Caenorhabditis elegans: one gene and its partners. The protein of the gene in region 3 purifies or fractionates together with the protein of the main gene of each other region. This does not show direct contact. Each region holds a gene or a part of one and is shown on either strand. Other genes may lie near its edges. The genes, in order: let-611, rpc-2 and W06E11.1.

Region 1 (4,965 bases), on a different chromosome or scaffold from region 3:
GCTACGAGTTCTCAAAATTCTAAATAAATGACTTGGTTTTAAGCCATTTATTTAGAATTTTTCTTAGAAAATAAATTTGAATTTTTTTGTCAGATCTACGGTTTCGTTAGTTAGATTAGAAGTCGTGGTGGAACCAGCCAAATACAATGACTTGCGCCTTTAAAGTTATGTTTCACATAGTCATGAATACAATATCATTAAAACTTTTATGCTTACTATCGAATATTGAACGGTGTGAAGCAGAATGAACAGAAAGACAGAAAAAATTTCCTGTTTCAGGTTTCAATAAAAACATTTCTCTTCGGGGTATTCATAATAAATATTCAATTTGCTAAGTTTGTTGAAATAGACTCTTTCATCAATTCTCATGTTTAGTGATGAAGCCAATCTTTACAGGAACACATCACGAACGAATGAATCATTCAGATGAGAATAAAAAGAGAAAAAACCACAAAAAAGTGGTGGATGAAAGGGAAGAAAGTGTAACGAATGGTGTAACAAATGCTTATTTATATTTATATTTATGTGGAATTGAAAGAGAATGAACAGAACAAAGGACAAAGAAAAAGTTATCAAAGTGATGGAATTGAAGGTAGAAGCAACAAAAACGGAAAACCAAATAACTGAAAAACGTTCATTTTTTTTAACAATGATAATATGACAAAATCAGATAACATAACAACTCGGATAAATTTTAAAAAAACAACGAAGTAACAAATTTTAGTTTTCCCCTGAAGCCAAGAACAATTTGAAAGAGAGCAAAACTCGAATTGATTGATCCTGAGCAGCCAGCAAAGTAGCCTGAGCTTTACGGAAGCGATTCAATTGTGCACGATCTGGACCAGGAAGGTACATTTCTTCAACTTCTGCAATTTGTGCCAACTTTGAAGCTTCATCGAGTTGCTCAGAAGAGCGAATGTTTTCAATAATTGGTTGAACATTCGCATCCTTGTCGAGCACCGATTTATTTTCAGTTCGTTCATGTCGTTGACGAACAATAAGGTTTCGGACCAATTTGCAAGTGTACTCTACGAGACCACGAATAGTACGAGGTAGATCTACATAGTAGAGATAGAATGTGCGAGCGGGTTGGAAATCGTTGCTACGACCGACAGGCTGAAATATTTCAATATGTTGAAGTACAATAATTTTTGAATTCGTGTTATACCAACTATTCAGTAAATTAAAGTAGAATAATTCAACCGAAAATTACCTTATTGAACACATATCCTTCTTCAACTAATGCGTATAACATTTCTCTTGCTTCTTTTCCACTCATCATGCTCAACTTCTCTACTTGTTCTTCATCCAGATAATGACGATTTTCAAGAAGTCTCATAACTCGAATTGCACGTCCTTCGAACTGTTCTCTGATGAGCGATTCACAGTGATGACGACAGATTTGACGAATAGCGCGACGAATGTCTGAAATAATTTAACTTTCATATTTGAAAATCTTCAAAGAATTTAGAGAGAAAAAAACATACCGACAATAAAAATACCTCCATTTGATTCTCCAAGTTTTCTGATAATTCCGTCCGATTCATCAACAAGGATCTGGCAAGCGAGTTCAATATCTGGCTTGGCAAGGTTCAGTCCATTTTCTTTAACAAGTCGTTGCAAATCGGTCAACTGAAACGGAATAATAACCATTTTTTAATAATCACTAATCAAGCAAAAAGTAGGCTTACACTGGCTGTGATACTCTCCATACTCATTGGTTTAGCTCTCGTTTCGTTAATTTTGAACATAAGATGAGCCACATTCTGTGTGATGTATTGAGTTCTATCTCCTTGTGGATCTTCGATGGTTTCTTCTTTTTTGACATTTAAATTTGTCATTGTACCTTTTGAACCACCTCCAATAAGATAATCAATAATAAGCTCATCGCGAAGATATCCATTGAATCGGATCCAATTGATTCTCCAATATTGACCTGCATCACCATCCTCTGGAGTTGAATCAGCTTTTCGCTTTCGGTTGTTTGAAGTTGAGTCGCTAGTGGATGTTCCTGTAATAAAATATATGGAATTTATTTAAAAAGATTACTATGGTGCTAAAATGCCCGAATATGTATATCATAATAAAACATTTCAAAAAATTCGGAAAATCATATATTTTGAACCAAAAACCGGTGAAAACTCATTTTTCACCAATTTGTTTGGATGCTGTCAAGCAAATGTTTTTTTTCAGTTTTATTATGTTTGAAATATTTATATTTCATAGTGCTTCAGATTTCTCTAAGAGCGAACTCATTTGAACCACTTTTTAACACGAATTAAAACAAATTTTTAAAAAATTTAGATTTCAATATTTAGTAATTTAAGTATCATGCATGATAGAAATAAATTTAATCATTTTCCTACATGTCTATTCACTATTTATTTTTGATCACGATTTCAATCGTAATAAATACAATACAATACAATACAGACCGCATTCTAAATTTAAAGATTGCTTTATACTATTTTATTCTCATTACCTTCTTTCTTTTCCATGATATTAGTAGATATTGCAAATGGATCAAAATTGGTCACAAATTGAGGACAACCATGAATTTCTGATTCTACAGACGGAACTCGAATGAGAAAATGTGCAGCTGCGAGTTCTTCGAAAGATTTCTTGATGTCACTGAACACGGCCGTCTCATCTGTCGCTTGAATTCGACGAATTGTCTCGGATACGGTAAGCCGCCCTTGAGAAATAAGTTCGACGCAGATAGACTCTGCAGCAGGTCCGTAGAGCGTTTTAGCAATGAGGCAAGCTCTGAAAATTATATATTTGGCTCTATAAAATATATTTACAACTTTTTACCTCGGCGAGGAAATGACATGTTGAATTTGGTCGGAATCTGCAACATATGTGGTTCGATTGTTCGTGTCCAAGTGGAAAGTAACAAAACCAAAGTTGATCAATGTGGAAACCGATTTTCTGATCTGAAAATTTATCTATTTTTTCTGCAAGTGAACTCAATATCCTCCAAATCAATATAACTAACTAGAGTATTTGAAATTTGTCCTTTCAGTTTATAAAAAAGAGTAGACAACTGGCAGCTTTCTTTCAGAATCGTCTCCATTACTTTCGCCACAATCTGTAATTCAAAAAAAGTTTAAAAAGAAAGTTTTTAAATTCTTACCTTTCCGAAAATATCTTCGATGATAATTACACACATTTGAGTCTCATACTTTCCACCACCCATTTTTGATCTGAAGGTCTTTTAGTAAAAAAGCTTTCCTTGGAAGTTTTACAGATATTTGGCTTTGCAACCGCTCTGGAAATTGTTTTTTGAAAATATTTTTTTTAAGTGTTGTTTCTAATACAATAAAAACAAGTAAAACAAAACAAATAAAAAGTTAACAAAAAATTCAACAACTGGCAAATAAAAATGCAACAAAAAACATTATTGTCTTCTGCGAATAGCCCTTTTTCGTCCTTCCTTCTTTCCTTTTGCCGCTTTCTTTCGTTCCTTTTGGGATTTTTTGTGTCGTTTTGTGTCCCCGCCAGCACCAGAAGATGTAGCACGCTTTCTGAATAATGGATCATATGTTGGACAATTTTAAAAGTTAAAGATTACCTTTTATTTCCTTCGGAAAGTGCTCTACCATCTTCTCCTCTCATCATATAATCTCCAAAACTGAGCAAATCATCAAGAGTTTCCGAACGTCCTAGTTGTTCGCTTCGTCGTTTCTGATCCTTATTCAATCGAATTCTGGTGAAGTTATCCTCCTCATAACGTTCTCTCTCACGATCATATTGATATTTCTTCTCACTCATCTCTCGAATTTCTTCCGGAGCATCACTGTATTGATTTTTGAGTTCCATAATAAGACTACTTTGCATTGCACGACGTTTTGCCTTTTCTTGTTGCTTGTTCGGAGCTTCGTCTTCTTCTAAAATGAACATAACTTTACGGAAAACTAATTTTTGAACATACCTTCATATCGAACTGCTCTAATTCTTGGTGCCACATATTTCTTAACTTCCTTTGCTCCTTTTCCTTCCTCATCATCTTCATCTTCCTCCTCTTCTTCTTCATCTCCTTCAACGTCCATATTGTCTAATCGAACTCTGTGATTTCCCTTGGAAGAACCATTTGATGCTCCACTCTCGGCGCTTGACCGGCCTAGTAGCTTTTCAATTTGAGGTTTCATCTTATCCTCGACTGGTTTCATTTTTTCAATGAACTGAAACTAGTTTTTTAGGAACAGTTGGAATACTAAAATACATACCACTCTATGCTTTAAAGCTCTTTTAACAGATGGTTCTACTGTAATTGACTCTCCTTTCATCATTTTCGACATAAGGACAGTCAACTCTCCAAGGTACGCTGTCATTTCATAGTTTTTCAGCTTCAGAAGACTAAGCCCCTGTAAATAAAAAAGTTTTTGAATAAATCTTGAGGTTTTCATTTCACTTCTTTGTCATCGTTCGTTTCCTCCATCCGATCGAAAACTTTACTGAAAGCTTTTACTGCTTCTGCAGTTTGAGTTTCCAGTTCTGCCACTAAATCAGCAAACGCTTCTTGCTCCGTTTCGGTCATCTGAAAGAAACGTTTTTTTTGATACAACACAAATTCAAAAAGTTAATTAATAAGATCATTCAAGATAAATTGTTGGAAACGTACCACACAAAAAAAAACAGTTTAAAAAAGAAAGTAAAGCGTTTTCTAAATTTATTTTTCTTTGGTTATTGGAATGCGTGAATTGAGTTATTTGTATAAAATTTACAGAAATGGTGGATAAATCTTTGATTAAATTGTTATCTACACGGCGGAAGAAGATGGTGGTGGCGGTGGTGGTGGTCCATCATTTCCGTCGTTTTTCGCATATGCCATAAACATTTCTTTAAGAAATGATAACTCTTTCTGTAGCTGCTCGACCTGATAGAGGGAATTAATTAAAATTAAAAAATCAAGTAAACAAGTACCTTTCTTTCTAGTGTTTCGTTCTCCTTTTTTAATTCGTC
Region 2 (7,910 bases), 4.9 Mb from region 3:
TTTCACAAATTTTGACTAACATTTTATTTTTCTATCAAATTTTCTGTTCTAAACTCAGAAATTTCCAGGAAGTCTGCCAGAAGATGTCGTTCTCCGTGAGCGCCGCCGCCAAGTCGGAAATCCTTGTCGACACACACGGATCGAAGAAGGTGGTTACATTGAATAGGCCTAAAGCGCTAAACGCGTTGAACCTCGAAATGGTACGAGAGTTTTATCCCAAACTTCAAGCCTGGAATTCATCTTCCGATGTGGATCTTGTCATTTTGAAAGGATCCGGTGATAAGGCGTTCTGTGCTGGAGGAGATGTTCTTGCCGTTGTGCGATCTTTCAAAGATTCGGAGAGTGGAAAAGAGTGCACAATGCACAAGGATTTCTTCCGCGAGGAGTACATTTTAAATCATTTAATTGGAACTTTGAATAAGCAATACGTTTGTCTGATTGATGGAATTGTGATGGGAGGAGTAAGTTATCTGCAACTATTTTCTTTTCAATTTTTTAAAAAACTTGTTTCAGGGTTGTGGTCTTTCTGTAAATGGACGTTTCCGAGTTGCCACTGAGAAAACAATGCTAGCAATGCCAGAAACCGCACTTGGACTCTTCCCAGACGTCGGTGGATCCTATTTCCTTTCAAGGCTCAAGGGAAACCTCGGAATGTACTTGGCACTCACTGGATATCGTCTTCTAGGTGCTGACGCTTTCCATGCTGGTCTTGCCACTCATTTTGTGGAGTCTTCGGAACTTGCGAAATTGGAAAAGGAACTTGTGAATATTAAGGATGTGACAGAGAACTCTGTCGATGAAGTCATCAGATCGTTCGAGCCAAAGAAGATTCCAGAATTCAGTCTGTCCAAGAATTTGGCTCAAATTAGAGATTCCTTCAAAGCAAAGTAAGATATTTTGTCACCAAGATCACGTGTATTTGAGTTGGAACAAATTAAAAAGTAGCATTTCATCGAATTGATTTATTATTGTTTCTCAGATAATATTAGTTTTAAGCAAAAACTAGGAAAGGGCCAGTTTTGAGGATTCGATAGCACACAAAAAATTACATTTGCCTAAGATATATAAAATAATTGATTTTTCAGAAGCGTCGAAGAAATCCTCGCAAGCCTCGAAAAAGACGGATCCGACTGGGCAAAGAAGCAAGCAGCCACTCTAGGAAAAATGAGCCCAACTTCCCTGAAAGTAACTCACCGACAAATCACCGAAGGAAGCAAGATGAGCTATGCAAAGATCTTCACAATGGAGTATCGTCTCACTCAACGATTCCTCGCCGATAAGGATTTCCATGAAGGGTGCCGAGCCAGTGAGCAGAGATTTTGTAGGGTTTCATTGAAAATTTGACTCATTTTTCAGTTCTCGTTGACAAGGATCGCAAGCCAAAGTGGAATCCAGCGACGTTGGCTGATGTGAAGGATTCTGTCGTCGATAACTATTTCTCGCCATTGCCAAATAATTCTGATTTAAAATTGTAGAGGCCAGAATTAGCGGAAAATTGAATTTTTAATGGAAAGCTAAAAAATCAGGGAAACCCATAATTTTTATCGGATTTCCTCGTTTTCCTATCTTTTCACCCAAAATGTTGATTTTCCCCCATAATTTTTACCATTTTAATAGGAACCCCTTATGTATTTATTTTTAGAAAAATGTCTAGCTATAATTTAATTTTTCCGGGTGTACAAATAATTTCCGTGCCTTTTTCAGCTATTCGCCGTATGAATATAAAGTTTTTTTTTGTTTTTGAATTTTATTTCCAGATTTCTATTGCAAACTGTTATTTTCTGTTTTTGTACCTCTTTTTCAAATAATTTTTATTCTAGAATTTCAGATTTTCAATACCAATTTTCAGATGACAATTGGCCAAGTGAACGGCCGCGCTCGCATAAAATCCGAGTGCGGCAAGGATCAGAAATGCATGCCACTCGAGGACAAATGGCTTCTCGTTCCCGCGTTTTTGAAAGTTCGAGGACTCGTCAAACAGCATCTCGTCAGTTTCGATCATTTCGTGCAGGAGGAGATCCGAAGTATCATGCTCTCCAATCAGAAGATCACTTCCGATGCAAATCCAAACTTTTATCTCAAATATTTGGATATTCGAATCGGAAAACCCAGCAGTGAGGAGGGTCTCAACATGACTCACGATAAGATTACCCCTCAAGAATGTCGACTACGAGATATGACCTACTCGGCGCCAATTTCAGTGGATATTGAGTACACACGTGGTAATCAAAGAGTATTCAAGAAGGATCTGATCATTGGTCGAATGCCGATTATGCTTCGTTCGAGTAAATGTATTCTCAGAGATCTTGCCGAAGAAGAGCTTGCAAGAGTTCAAGAATGCCCATATGATCCAGGAGGTTATTTTGTGGTCAAAGGAAGTGAAAAGGTTATCCTGATTCAAGAACAACTCTCCAAAAATCGTATTATGGTTGGAAGAAATTCAAGTAAAGAACTGCAGTGTGAAGTACTTTCGTCGACGTCCGAGAGGAAAAGTAAGACATATGTGACTATGAAGAAGGGTAAATATTCTGTTCGCCACAATCAGCTCACCGATGATGTACCAGTTTCCATCATTTTCAAGGTAAATTTTGAGAATTTTGATGACAACTGAAAAAAAAAATGTTCGGCATTCATTCCTAAATATTTTATTTAAAAAAAAAAACATCCAATACAAAAACATTCTCCGAAAAATATTTTTCCAAATTTTGATGCAAAAAATATTCTCAAAAAATGTTTTAGAATAAAAAATAATGAAGCTTTCTTTCTTTCTGATTGTGAGAAACTGAACATTTTACGATATTTTCAATCGAAATTCCTCAAAAACATTTATTATCGAATCTGGAGTTTTTCAGATTTTTTTTTCCAAAATTCGAGTTCGCTTTTTTTAATTCAAGAAAATTATTACAAAAAATAGGGAAAATTTTAAAAAAAGTGTAGCATTATGTTAAAACAAAAACTAAAAACCGCTTCCTTTTCAAAGTTTCAATTTTCCAGGCGATGGGAGTCGAATCAGATTTTGACATTGTGAGTACAATCGGTCACGAGGAGAAGTACGTTTCAGCATTTGCTCAAACTCTCGAAGAATCCATAAATGCCGGAGTTTATACCCAACAGCAGGCACTCGCATATGTTACCTCAAAAGTCAAGGCTCGTAAATTCACACCATTCGGATCACTTCCAGGAACTTCAGTGAGCGTCTTGACTCCACCGAAAGAACACGAAGCAGTCGATTTTCTGTCCAATTCAATGATCACACATATTGCTTGCCCAGATGGAAATTTCAAAATGAAGGCGATTTATTTGGGATTAATGACAAGACGACTGATTCAAACGGAACTCGGAGAAAATGGGCTTGATGATCGGGATTTCTACGGAAATAAACGTTTGGAGCTCGCTGGATCATTGCTTTCGTTGCTGTTTGAGGATGTATTCAAAAGATTCAACTCTGAACTGAAAAGAATTGCAGACAATGCGTTGATGAAGACAATGGCTGCACCATTGGATATTGTGAAGCATATGAGACAAGATATGATTACGAATACTATAGTGAATGCTATGTCGACAGGAAATTGGATTATCAAAAGATTCCGAATGGAACGACTTGGTGTTACACAAGTACTAAGTAGATTGTCATATATCTCAGCACTTGGTATGATGACAAGAATCAACTCGACTTTTGAGAAAACTCGAAAAGTCTCTGGTCCTCGATCCCTTCAACCATCTCAATGGGGAATGCTTTGTCCGAGTGATACTCCTGAAGGTGAAGCTTGTGGTCTTGTGAAGAATCTCGCTTTGATTAGTCACATTACAACTGATTCCGATGAGAAACCCGTTCTCAGATTGTTACTCAATTCGGGAGTCGAGGATTTACATAATGTGCATTTCTCGCATGTCAATAAGCCGTGAGTTTTTACAAATTAAAATTTTAAGTGTGAAATCTTGAAAAATAAAAGTTTTGAGAATGCTAGTTTTGAAAAAATCGCATATTTTAATCAATTTTTATAAATTTCTAAAATAAATTATCAATTTCATAAAAATTAGATTTCAAATCGAGTTAAGGTTTGACAATTTTTGAAAATTACTAGATCCATTTTTTTGTGTTTTTTCCTAAAAAAAAGGTTATTTTTATCGAAAATTTTCAGTGAAAACACGTTGATCTTCTTAAACGGAGTGCTCATTGGAACAGCTGTGGATCCAGAAAGAGTGGTGAAAGCCGTCAGAGATTTGAGAAGGTTTCAACAAAAAAATGTTGCCAAAAAATTCATCGAATTTCAATTTCAGAAGTGGACTCCTGTCAGAATTTGTTTCAGTATCCCGTTCTCTAACCAATCGTTCTGTTTTCATTTCATCAGACGGTGGCCGCCTGTGTCGACCATATATTATTGTCAAAAACGGAACTCCAATGCTCACACAGGCTCACGTGCAGGAACTGAAAGAGGGAAAAATGATTTTTGAGGATTTTGTTGATGACGGAATTGTCGAATATTTGGATGTAAATGAGATGAACGATGCGTTGATTGCCGTTTATGGGAGAGAAATTGGCCCAGAAACTACACATTTGGAGGTACGTTTTTGAACTTTGTGAATCTAAAAATGAAAAAAATTAAATCGAAAACTGGTTGTTCTTTCCTGTAAAGAAAATTCAAAAAATTTGGTAAAATTTGTCTGAAACTTAAAACTATGTGAAAAAAGTTTAAATTCTCATTTTTTTAAATATAAAAAATTGAAAATCAAATTATTTAGAGCTCTAAAATTCTATAATTCAAGGAAATTCCAACATTTAAAGATTTTTATCCTTAGTTTAAAATAAAATTTGCACTTTTCAGTGTCTGAGCTATTAATAATCTTTCAAAATTTCCAGATTGAGCCATTTACTCTTCTTGGAGTGTGTGCTGGTCTTATTCCATATCCACATCATAATCAATCTCCACGTAATACTTATCAATGTGCTATGGGTAAACAAGCAATGGGAACAATTGCCTATAATCAACAGAAAAGAATTGATTCAATTATGTATCTTTTATGTTATCCACAGAGACCACTCGTTAAGTCAAAGGTTCGTTAAAATTGAAATATTTTAAAATTTATGAAAAAAATTTGATTAAAAAATGCATGTTTCATTTATTGAACTAATGTTTGTGGAGAGATATCGTTAATAATCCTGAAAATAAAAATAAATCAATTTCCTGAATTCCGAAAAATAAAAAAATCAAATCGGAAGTATCCGCTATATCTTTCTAATCAATTATTCTATTCAGAAATTTTTAATTTGTTTTTCTTTTAGAAAATTATCAATTGTTCAAACTTTTTACATCACAATTTTCCAGACAATCGAACTGACAAACTTTGAAAAACTGCCGGCCGGCGCGAATGGAATCATCGCAGTGATGTCATACAGTGGTTACGATATCGAAGATGCTCTTGTGCTCAATAAAGCTTCACTGGATCGTGGTTATGGTCGTTGTCTGGTCTACAAACATGTGAAGGGAACCGCCAAAAAATATCCGAATCAGACATTCGATCGTCTTCTAGGACCAGCATTGGATCCGAACACGAGAAAACCAATTTTCAAGCACAAAAATCTCGATCAAGAGGGTATTGTATTCGCCGGAGCACGTATTATGCCGAAACAGACGATTATCAATAAGCACATGCCAGTTGTCAGTGGAGAAAGTGGTCCTGGAGCGTCGGCTTCTGCCAATACAAGTATGTTGAAATGAGCATGACGAATTTGTATAAGGAAAATAAAAACGGAATGTACAGTTTCGAGAAGACATCTATTTTTTTAAAAGTTTTACGAAAAAAAACACGAAAAATATAAAAAAAAAAGAATAATAAACAATTCCCAGACCAACCTCGTAAAAATGAAAGCGAGTTTTCAACAGAAACCCTGTTTTAAAACTTTTTCCAAAAAATCTGAAGTATTTATAGCATTTTTTAATTTTTACCAATTAAACAAATGTTTTAAAAAAAAACTCAAAGAAACTGTCTCCGTTCTTTTTTGCGAATATAAATTTTCTAACTTTTTTACGTTCACAATTAAATAAAACTTGACATTTATTCCGTTCAAATATTCAATTAATTTAATTTAAAACGAAAATTTAAATATAAAACTCTGAAAAAGTAAAAAAAAAAACGTTCACTAACAATTCTTTAAATTTTCAGTCGGAATCGCTGGACGCCAAGTTGACTACAAAGACGTCTCGATCACGTATAAAACTCCAACTCCATCATATGCGGAACGAGTTCTTCTTACCTATAATGAAGATGAAGCTCATTTATTCAAAGTTCTTCTTCGACAAACCCGTCGGCCAGAACTTGGAGATAAATTCTCATCTCGACACGGACAAAAAGGAGTATGCGGATTGATTGCTCAACAGGAAGATATGCCATTTAATGATCTTGGAATGGTGCCAGATATGATTATGAATCCTCATGGATATCCATCTCGAATGACTGTCGGAAAATTAATGGAATTGTTATCTGGAAAAGCTGGAGTAGTGAATGGAACATATCATTATGGAACAGCATTTGGTGGAGATCAGGTTAAAGATGTCTGTGAAGAATTGGCTGCTTGTGGTTATAATTATATGGGAAAAGATATGCTGACAAGTGGAATTACTGGACAACCATTATCTGCTTATATCTACTTTGGACCAATCTATTATCAGAAGCTCAAGCATATGGTTTTGGATAAGATGCACGCCCGTGCCAGAGGACCGAGGTGTGGAGAGATTTTGAATTTAGATAATGTCTTGTCTGGAAATTCTGAATTTTGGAAAGAATTTTCAATTAAATATTTAAAAATTAAGTTTAGCAACAAAATCTGAAAAAGAAAAATTTTTAGAACAGTTAACTCTGCATTTTCCAACTTTCCTTTAAAACTTTTGATGTAAAACAATGAGGAATTGCAACATTTTTTTAATTAGAAAATTTGGTATCAATCAAAATTCACTTATTTTTATCATGGTTAAAATTTCGAAAAAAGCCAAATTGAAAAAGTTCTGAAAAAGGAATTGACAAAATGCTCGAAGCTTAGGAAATTAGGGGAAAAAAGAATCAATTTTTCATAGTGGAAATACATTTTTTTCAAATCCAATTCGCGGAAATGTTATGCATATTTTGGAACAAAAAAAACCATTTTAATTTTTCTCACATTTTTTAAATTAAAAAAAAAACTTTTTTTAAAAATTTTTTTCAATTTATTCTCAGAGTTTCTTTTAAAAATCTATAAATTTTCAGAGCCGCATTGACTCGCCAGCCAACAGAAGGAAGATCACGAGAAGGAGGTCTACGTCTTGGAGAAATGGAACGTGATTGTCTCATTGCCTATGGAGCATCGATGCTGCTTATTGAGCGTTTGATGGTGTCATCAGATGAGTTTAAGGTAAATTCCCTTACCGAGTTTTTTTTAAAAGTTTGCTACTTTTGTGTGTGTGCGCGCAATTTTTGCTCATCATTACACTAGCCGTAACACTCTCAAGTGGTTCTTTTTTGCGAAAATGAGGAGCGAAACTGTTGCGGGAGAGACTGGGAGAAGCCTTGCGTGGGTTGACTTTGCGGGTCGACTTTTCTTGGAAACTGGGTTGACGTTTTTTGGAAAGGTTCTTGAAAATTTTTGATTTACCGCAGAGAAAATTATGGATTTTGTTTGATCATGAGAGAATACATTTCCCGACTTTTATCTGAAAATATCGAAAAAAAAGGTCGGAAACCGATTATTAATTTTTTTTTGAACTCCCACTTTTTTATAAGAACAGAGAAATCGATTTTAAAAAAAGCATTTTCCCTAAAAACTTTTTAAAAAAAGCAAAACTTTCTATTTTAATGGCTCTGAATCTCTGTTGCTCGGAAGTTAAAAAAAATCAAATTTTCGGTGCTATTCGAGCAAGATCCATTCCCAAATAAAA
Region 3 (6,197 bases):
TATAAGCAAACGCGCTCTATTGACAATTGATGGTTGTTTCTTTAAAACTCCAAGTTTTTGTTCACTTTTCGTGGGTTCTTGACAATGAAAATAGGGAAAAATTATGGAATTTTCGGCTTTTTCGAAAAAATTGCGTCACCAGTACGCTAGGAAATATTTAAATTTATAAGCTCTAAAAATCACAATTTTAAAAAGGAAAACTTTGAAAAAAGCAAACACTCTGTTGGCAATTTTTAGATTTCTTTTTCGTGAAAGCAAAATCAAAATCAAGAAATAAAACCCGAAACTTGATCTAAATTTGAAAGAAAAGGGTTTTGATCTCTCCCGCCCCGCCCCTAAAGTACAGCAATAATCTGAAAAATCAACACGTGTTGGCAAATAGCAAAAAGTGTAATATAATGTTTGTAAAAAGATTTGAAATTGATCATTCGGATACCGTTCGGGAATTCGGCTATTTTAGGGGAAAATCGGATTAAAATTCTCGGAGTAGTGAAATAAAAATTATTCAAAATAACAGAAAAATGAAAAACAACAACAAAAGATCAACAAAAATCGGTGGAGAATTTGGTGGTGATGATGGAAACAATAGAATGACGTGGGAGAGGAAAATTGAGTTTTTGGAAAAATGACCGAAATTTACAGAAATTTTGAATTTCCAGAAAAACAATTTTTGTGAGTTTTTTTGTGAAAAATTGAATTTTTTACAAATTGAAAATTTTGAATTGATTTTTGTTCCAAAAAATTGACAAAAATTCCAATTTGTAAAAATCAATATTCTATTAGATATTCTCAATATTGACGGGAGGTTTTTCAGAAGGCAATAATTAAAAAATCGGTTTTTTAAAGGATTTTTTTTGAATTTCAGAAATTTTTTTTTTGAAATTTTCGTTAAAAATTGGAAAAAATATTTTTTGTCATTTTTTCTAAATTTCAAAATTTCAATGGAAAATTGACTAGTTTCAGTGATTTTTTTTCCAAAAGAAAATTCAAATTTTCTGTAAATTCCAGGCTAAAAAGGCTAAAAAAAAAGAAATAAATCATTTTTTCTTCGGGGACTTGGCAGGCGATTCCTGCAGCGACTTCTCCAATTCATTAAATTTCTGAACCCATTTTGCCTTCTGCTCAACCACATGCTTCTTCATAGCCGGATCCTCCAAAAACTGAGCATCCCGTTCGACGCGAAGTCTCCATGATCTGGTAGCTTCACATTTGACACCAAAAGTCGACAAAATTTCATCGGAATCCCGTTCGCTGAGCTGAAACACATATGTTTTAAATTTTTGAATTCATGTAGATTCATCTTCTGAACTCTGATTTTTTTTCGAAATTTCGAGAATTGCTAAATTTATATTAAAATTTTATTTAATTCTTCGTAATTTATTCAAATGCTTCCTAGATTTTTTTCCCCCTTTTTTAAAATTTACATTTCAATCAAATTCTGCGTAAAATTGAAGTTTTTTTGATCATTTAGCATTCAATTCCAATGTGGAAATTTTAACTTCATTTTTCCAATGAAAAATTTGCAAAAAAAAAGCCTCCTAATTTCAGTAAAGAATCAGGAACAACTTCATAATTGAATTTTTCAATTTTGTTTTTTTACTGGAAATTTGGTTGATTTCCAGGAATTTTCAATAAGTTTTTCTTAACTTTTCCAGTCAAATGTTCAGTGGAAAAGTGAAGTTTCCACAGGAATTCCAGTTTTAAATATGAGTTTTTCTACCTTAAAGCATGTCATAAGAGTAAGCCGAGTGACTCTATGACCACCATCAATCAGGCAAAGTGCCAAATCTCGCGCGTTTCTCCAAAGCTCTGCCCGATACAAATCCGTCTTTCCCGCCGTATTCGAGTGCGCCGGCGCCAAATTTTTGAACATTAAATTCGAATCCAACACCCAGACGCCTTGAACTAAACTCGCGCATTCCTTGAGCTTCGCAATCATTTTATCAGTGCTCATTGCGGATGGATCGATTAAACGACGCATTTCAGAAGTCTTCATCACGTGAGATTTCACCATATGCGCCTTTAATTGAAGGTTTGGATCCGGAAGATCATCGATTCGTTGTTTGGAAAGCATATGTTCTTTTCCTGATTCGATTACTCTGAAAAACATTAATTTTAGGGTGTTTCTAGTGGAAATTCCAGTAGAAATGTAAAATTTTTGGTCTTTTTAACGAAAATTACACTAAAAATACAAACATTTTGGAGGTTTTAATGAAAATTACATTAAAAATACAAAAAATTTAGCGTTTTCATGTCAAAAATCTAAAATCCAGGATTTTTCGTTCAAAACAAGTAAAAATTCCTCTAGTTTTGTGATTTACAAGAAGAAAAACTAATTTTCAGGAACATTTTCAATTAAAACAATCCAATTTCAGGATATTTAGTTTTAGAAGAAATAAATTTATTTTTTTAAGGGAAAAATATGAATTTTTAGGCTTTTTCAGCTGTAAAAAAACTATATTTTTGAGATATTTTAAAGTGAAAATCAGACTTTTTGAATTTTTGATGTTTTCCGTCAAGTAACAGAATTTTAATTTTTTTTTCTCAGAAGAAATTAAATTTTGGGAATTTTTAGTGAAAAAAGATTTTGGAAATTTCTAAATTATTTCTGAATTGAATTTCTGAACTGAAAAAAAAAACCAAAATTCCCAAGTTTTCAGCCATTTTTTTCGGGATTTTGTGGAAAAAAACTGAAAAATTCCGTTTTTCCACACTATTTTTCTGTGCAAAATTACAACAAAAAAACGAACAATTCCTCCTTAACACCACAAATAATAGCTCTATTAACAAGAGCTCTAATGCTCATTCGTGAAGCTTCAGGATCGTCCAAAAGGAGTCCATTCTGACTAATTCCATCAATTTTTTCAGCGACAGGGTCACCATCTTTCAAATGAACTTTCATCGGAATCCACATATCACTTGCAATCTTTTTCTCTCGATGTAACGCCGATGCTTCTCGTCGTTTTTTTTGTCGTTCAGTTTCAGGCCGAGAAAATTTGACTCTAACTGCGGCGGAGGATGGCTTAACGTCTTCTTCTTCTCCAGACGAATCTTCATCGGATTTTCCAGATTTTCCGTCGGATTTCTTCTTTTTATTCAACCCTTGAATTGATCGATGCATTTCGAATGCTCCAGTCAGCGGATGAATGAAGAATTCGCCGTTTTTAAAAAATCCAATTGCATTGACTATTGGGTGATCGTGGATGAATGCACGGCCTTCGTAGATCTCATCGTTGGCTCGGAGAGCACTGGAAGAATTGAAATTATGTGAAAAACACACAATTTTCGAATGAAAATTCGAAACTAGGCTCTTCTAAGTGGATAGCAGATCAAATTTTAAAAAACACTGACTTAAAATTGATTTTTCTACTCTTTTTTCAACAAATGTAACGAATTAATTAGCAATTTTTTAAATCAATTTTTTTTCAAAAAACGCAAGAAATCTGTAAATCTGTCCCTACCCTCGATTAGCAATCGAAACATTTAGCAGACCCAACCCTTTTGGTCTGCTAATTATTTAACAGACCAAATTTCAAAAAAACTCCGCATTAAGCCTCAAAAATTGATTTTTCTACGTTTTTTGCTACAAACCGAAAGCATTTTATTGAACTTTTCATTTAAAAAACGAAAGAAATCTGTAAATTCTTTGAAAATCCTCGAATTTTAATCGAAATATTTAGCAGACCCAGCCTCATTGGTCTGCTAATTGTTTAGCAGACCAACCATGGGTCTGCTAAATATTTAGCAGACCCAAAATTGGTCTGCTAATTATTTAGCAGACCCAAAATTAATCTGCTAAATATTTAGCAGACCCAACCTCATTGGTCTGCTAAATATTTAGCAGACCAACTATAGGTCTGCTAAATATATTCTTTACCTTCTACTTTTTTCAAAGCAAATTTCAGGTGTATTTTCATACTTTCAGCATCAAAAACTGTGGTAAAACCTACTCAATTCCATGTCCTTTTTTCGGGACATCTCCATCCATATACATAAGTTCTGCCTTCTTTTTGTCATATGATCCGAGTTGGGTGTCTGTCATGAAGCGCATTTCTAGCTGAAAATCAGTGACATTGAAAATTCGATCTAAAATTGATTAAATTGTGAAAAAAACGGCTACTTTTTCAGATGTTTTTGGGCATTTCTCTAAACGTTTGACAGGATTTGTTCAATTTGTTCAATAATTCTAGTGTCCTATTTTCCGATTTTCAATGAATTCAAGCCAATTTCAAGTGTTTTTCCGTACCAATCGAACATTCTTCTTATATCTGGCAATTGGAAATCGCTTTGCATCCCAGGCGTCTCGTTTGCTCGAAGGATACGAAACAGAGAACATTTCAGTATTTGGTGTGGAATTGCACACAACTACGTCGCATTCCCAAACGACTTGATCTTCAACTGAATCATCCTCTTCATCTGATAGAAATTCCGGTTTTTTGACAAGTTTTCGAATAATTTGCTCTTGTTCGTCGTCAGAAGCACCGTCTACTTCCATTTAGTATGAGATCCTGAAAAATTTGAGCGATTTGGACGGTTTATACGAATTATATATTTAAAAATCGTTTGTTTTTCCTTAGTTTTGTTGAAAAACCCCATTTTTACCTAGAAGAACACAAATTTTCCCGAAAAATTTGGAAAAATAAAAGCTAAAATGCAATTTTTTGTGTAATTAATAAGGATTTTTGTAGAAAATTTTAATTTTAGTTTACTAATATTTTTGGAGAATTTTTAGACACAATTTTTGTGAGATTCTGACTTTTTTTGCGATTTTTCTAGTTCTCTCACGGAAAACTCAGCAAAAATCTCGTCTTTCCAATCAAAAATTCCCAAAAAACCACTGAAAAATGTTAAATTTCAATCAATAAATGCCACGTGGCAAATAAATATTAACAGAAGATGTTAAAACTTCCAAAAATCGATTTAAAAAACCAGAAAAAAATTAAGAAAAAAACATTTTTAGCTAAAAAAACGAAAAATCAACAAACAAAAAGATAAATTCAACAAAAAATGTGTCAACAAGTAAATTTCAATTCATTTTTTCGATAATATTTGCAAGTTTTCTCGGTTTTCCATCGCCTTCCGTAGTGGTTCCATAGGCTTTGTTACGTTGTTGACGGCTTTCCAGGTCCAAAATTGCGGTCTTTTTGATCTTTTTCAGGCCTGGATGGACTTCTGAAGAGCCTTCAACGGGTTCTTCGCCTTCTTCATAAATAAATCCTCCTAGTACCTTGGGCTTCACCTCTTGCGGGAGAATTGTGATGGCGCCAGTGACGAAACTCTCTGAAAAAAATTGTTATTGGGTAATTTTATCAACTTTTAAGCTTAATTCTATGCTTACGAGCTTTAATATTCTTCGAGTCAGCTTCTTCCCGCTCCCTGAACGCCGGAATATGCACCATCCGCTCCTTTTTCGACTTTGGCGCAACAATAGCTCGGAAAACTCCGGATTCTGAAAAATTTCTCATAGATTTTTCTCAATAAAATACTCTCACCTGTCTTCAATTTGGTTTTCGTCAACACTTCCTCGTCGTTTGACCATTTTAGCGCCTCCAAATCTTCTAAACTAACACCAATCGGTTTTTTGATGAGGAAAACTTGAAAATCCGAGCTCTCATCGATCGTCATGTCAGCCACACCATTTCTGGCTTCTTCCTTAATACATTTAATTAAAACCAAAAAAGTTGTAATCAAGAAATTCAATTCTTACCACTTTTTTTACCCGTTTTCCAGATTGCTCTGAGTCCGAGTCCTGGTGCTTTCGTTTTTTGCCCATTTTACTGGAAAATTTTGCAAAATTTCAGATTTTTTAAAATTATAAAACACAAATATATTAAAAATAAATGCGTTTAGCGAAAAAAAATTGGAAAATCTGCAAAAAAAGGAAAAAATATGTTTCACAAAAAAGTGCGATAGGGCGCCGTTGCATACCACAAGAGACTTCACGAAATTGAGAGATTTCACATTGGAGAAATGAGGAACAACGAGTAAATGACATATAATTTTAGATTTTCTTGTTACAAAGTAAATAATTTATTTTCATTTAATAAAATCTTACATTTTATAACACTTTTACTAGGTGTTCAACTAAAAAACCTCGCGTTTATACTGTGACATTCGGAAACATGCGTTCTGCAAACAACCTTTTACCCAGAGAGAGCGTGGTCTCCTTGAGTTCTCAATTTCTATTGATTTTCTTT

The links.
Region 1: the proteins of W06E11.1 (region 3) and let-611 fractionate together in Caenorhabditis elegans (co-fractionation; one large-scale study listed by BioGRID). This does not show direct contact.
Region 2: the proteins of W06E11.1 (region 3) and rpc-2 fractionate together in Caenorhabditis elegans (co-fractionation; one large-scale study listed by BioGRID). This does not show direct contact.

What each region holds. Positions count from the first base shown.
Region 1 is NC_003279.8:6,253,276-6,258,240, reverse strand, and holds let-611 (DNA-directed RNA polymerase III subunit RPC3), read right to left. Parts: upstream 3,207-4,965; 5' UTR 3,200-3,206; coding exon 3,137-3,199; intron 3,092-3,136; coding exon 2,999-3,091; intron 2,937-2,998; coding exon 2,815-2,936; intron 2,767-2,814; coding exon 2,483-2,766; intron 2,012-2,482; coding exon 1,692-2,011; intron 1,633-1,691; coding exon 1,488-1,632; intron 1,426-1,487; coding exon 1,214-1,425; intron 1,117-1,213; coding exon 721-1,116; 3' UTR 621-720; downstream 1-620. Other genes in the region: lpd-2 (LiPid Depleted), read right to left, coding at 3,401-3,527, 3,575-3,890, 3,935-4,184, 4,230-4,367, 4,415-4,540; cebp-2 (CCAAT/enhancer-binding protein homolog 2), read right to left, coding at 4,763-4,879, 4,927-4,965.
Region 2 is NC_003281.10:5,555,516-5,563,425, forward strand, and holds the start of rpc-2 (DNA-directed RNA polymerase subunit beta), read left to right. Parts: upstream 1-1,849; coding exon 1,850-2,581; intron 2,582-2,994; coding exon 2,995-3,902; intron 3,903-4,142; coding exon 4,143-4,232; intron 4,233-4,281; coding exon 4,282-4,564; intron 4,565-4,861; coding exon 4,862-5,056; intron 5,057-5,327; coding exon 5,328-5,706; intron 5,707-6,165; coding exon 6,166-6,724; intron 6,725-7,242; coding exon 7,243-7,387; intron 7,388-7,910. Other genes in the region: hach-1 (3-hydroxyisobutyryl-CoA hydrolase, mitochondrial), read left to right, coding at 69-461, 514-887, 1,086-1,306, 1,357-1,475.
Region 3 is NC_003281.10:640,370-646,566, reverse strand, and holds W06E11.1 (RNB domain-containing protein), read right to left. Parts: upstream 4,509-6,197; 5' UTR 4,496-4,508; coding exon 4,247-4,495; intron 4,058-4,246; coding exon 3,951-4,057; intron 3,249-3,950; coding exon 2,751-3,248; intron 2,100-2,750; coding exon 1,721-2,099; intron 1,257-1,720; coding exon 1,038-1,256; 3' UTR 501-1,037; downstream 1-500. Other genes in the region: tag-267 (Major sperm protein), read right to left, coding at 5,027-5,280, 5,339-5,449, 5,493-5,652, 5,708-5,773.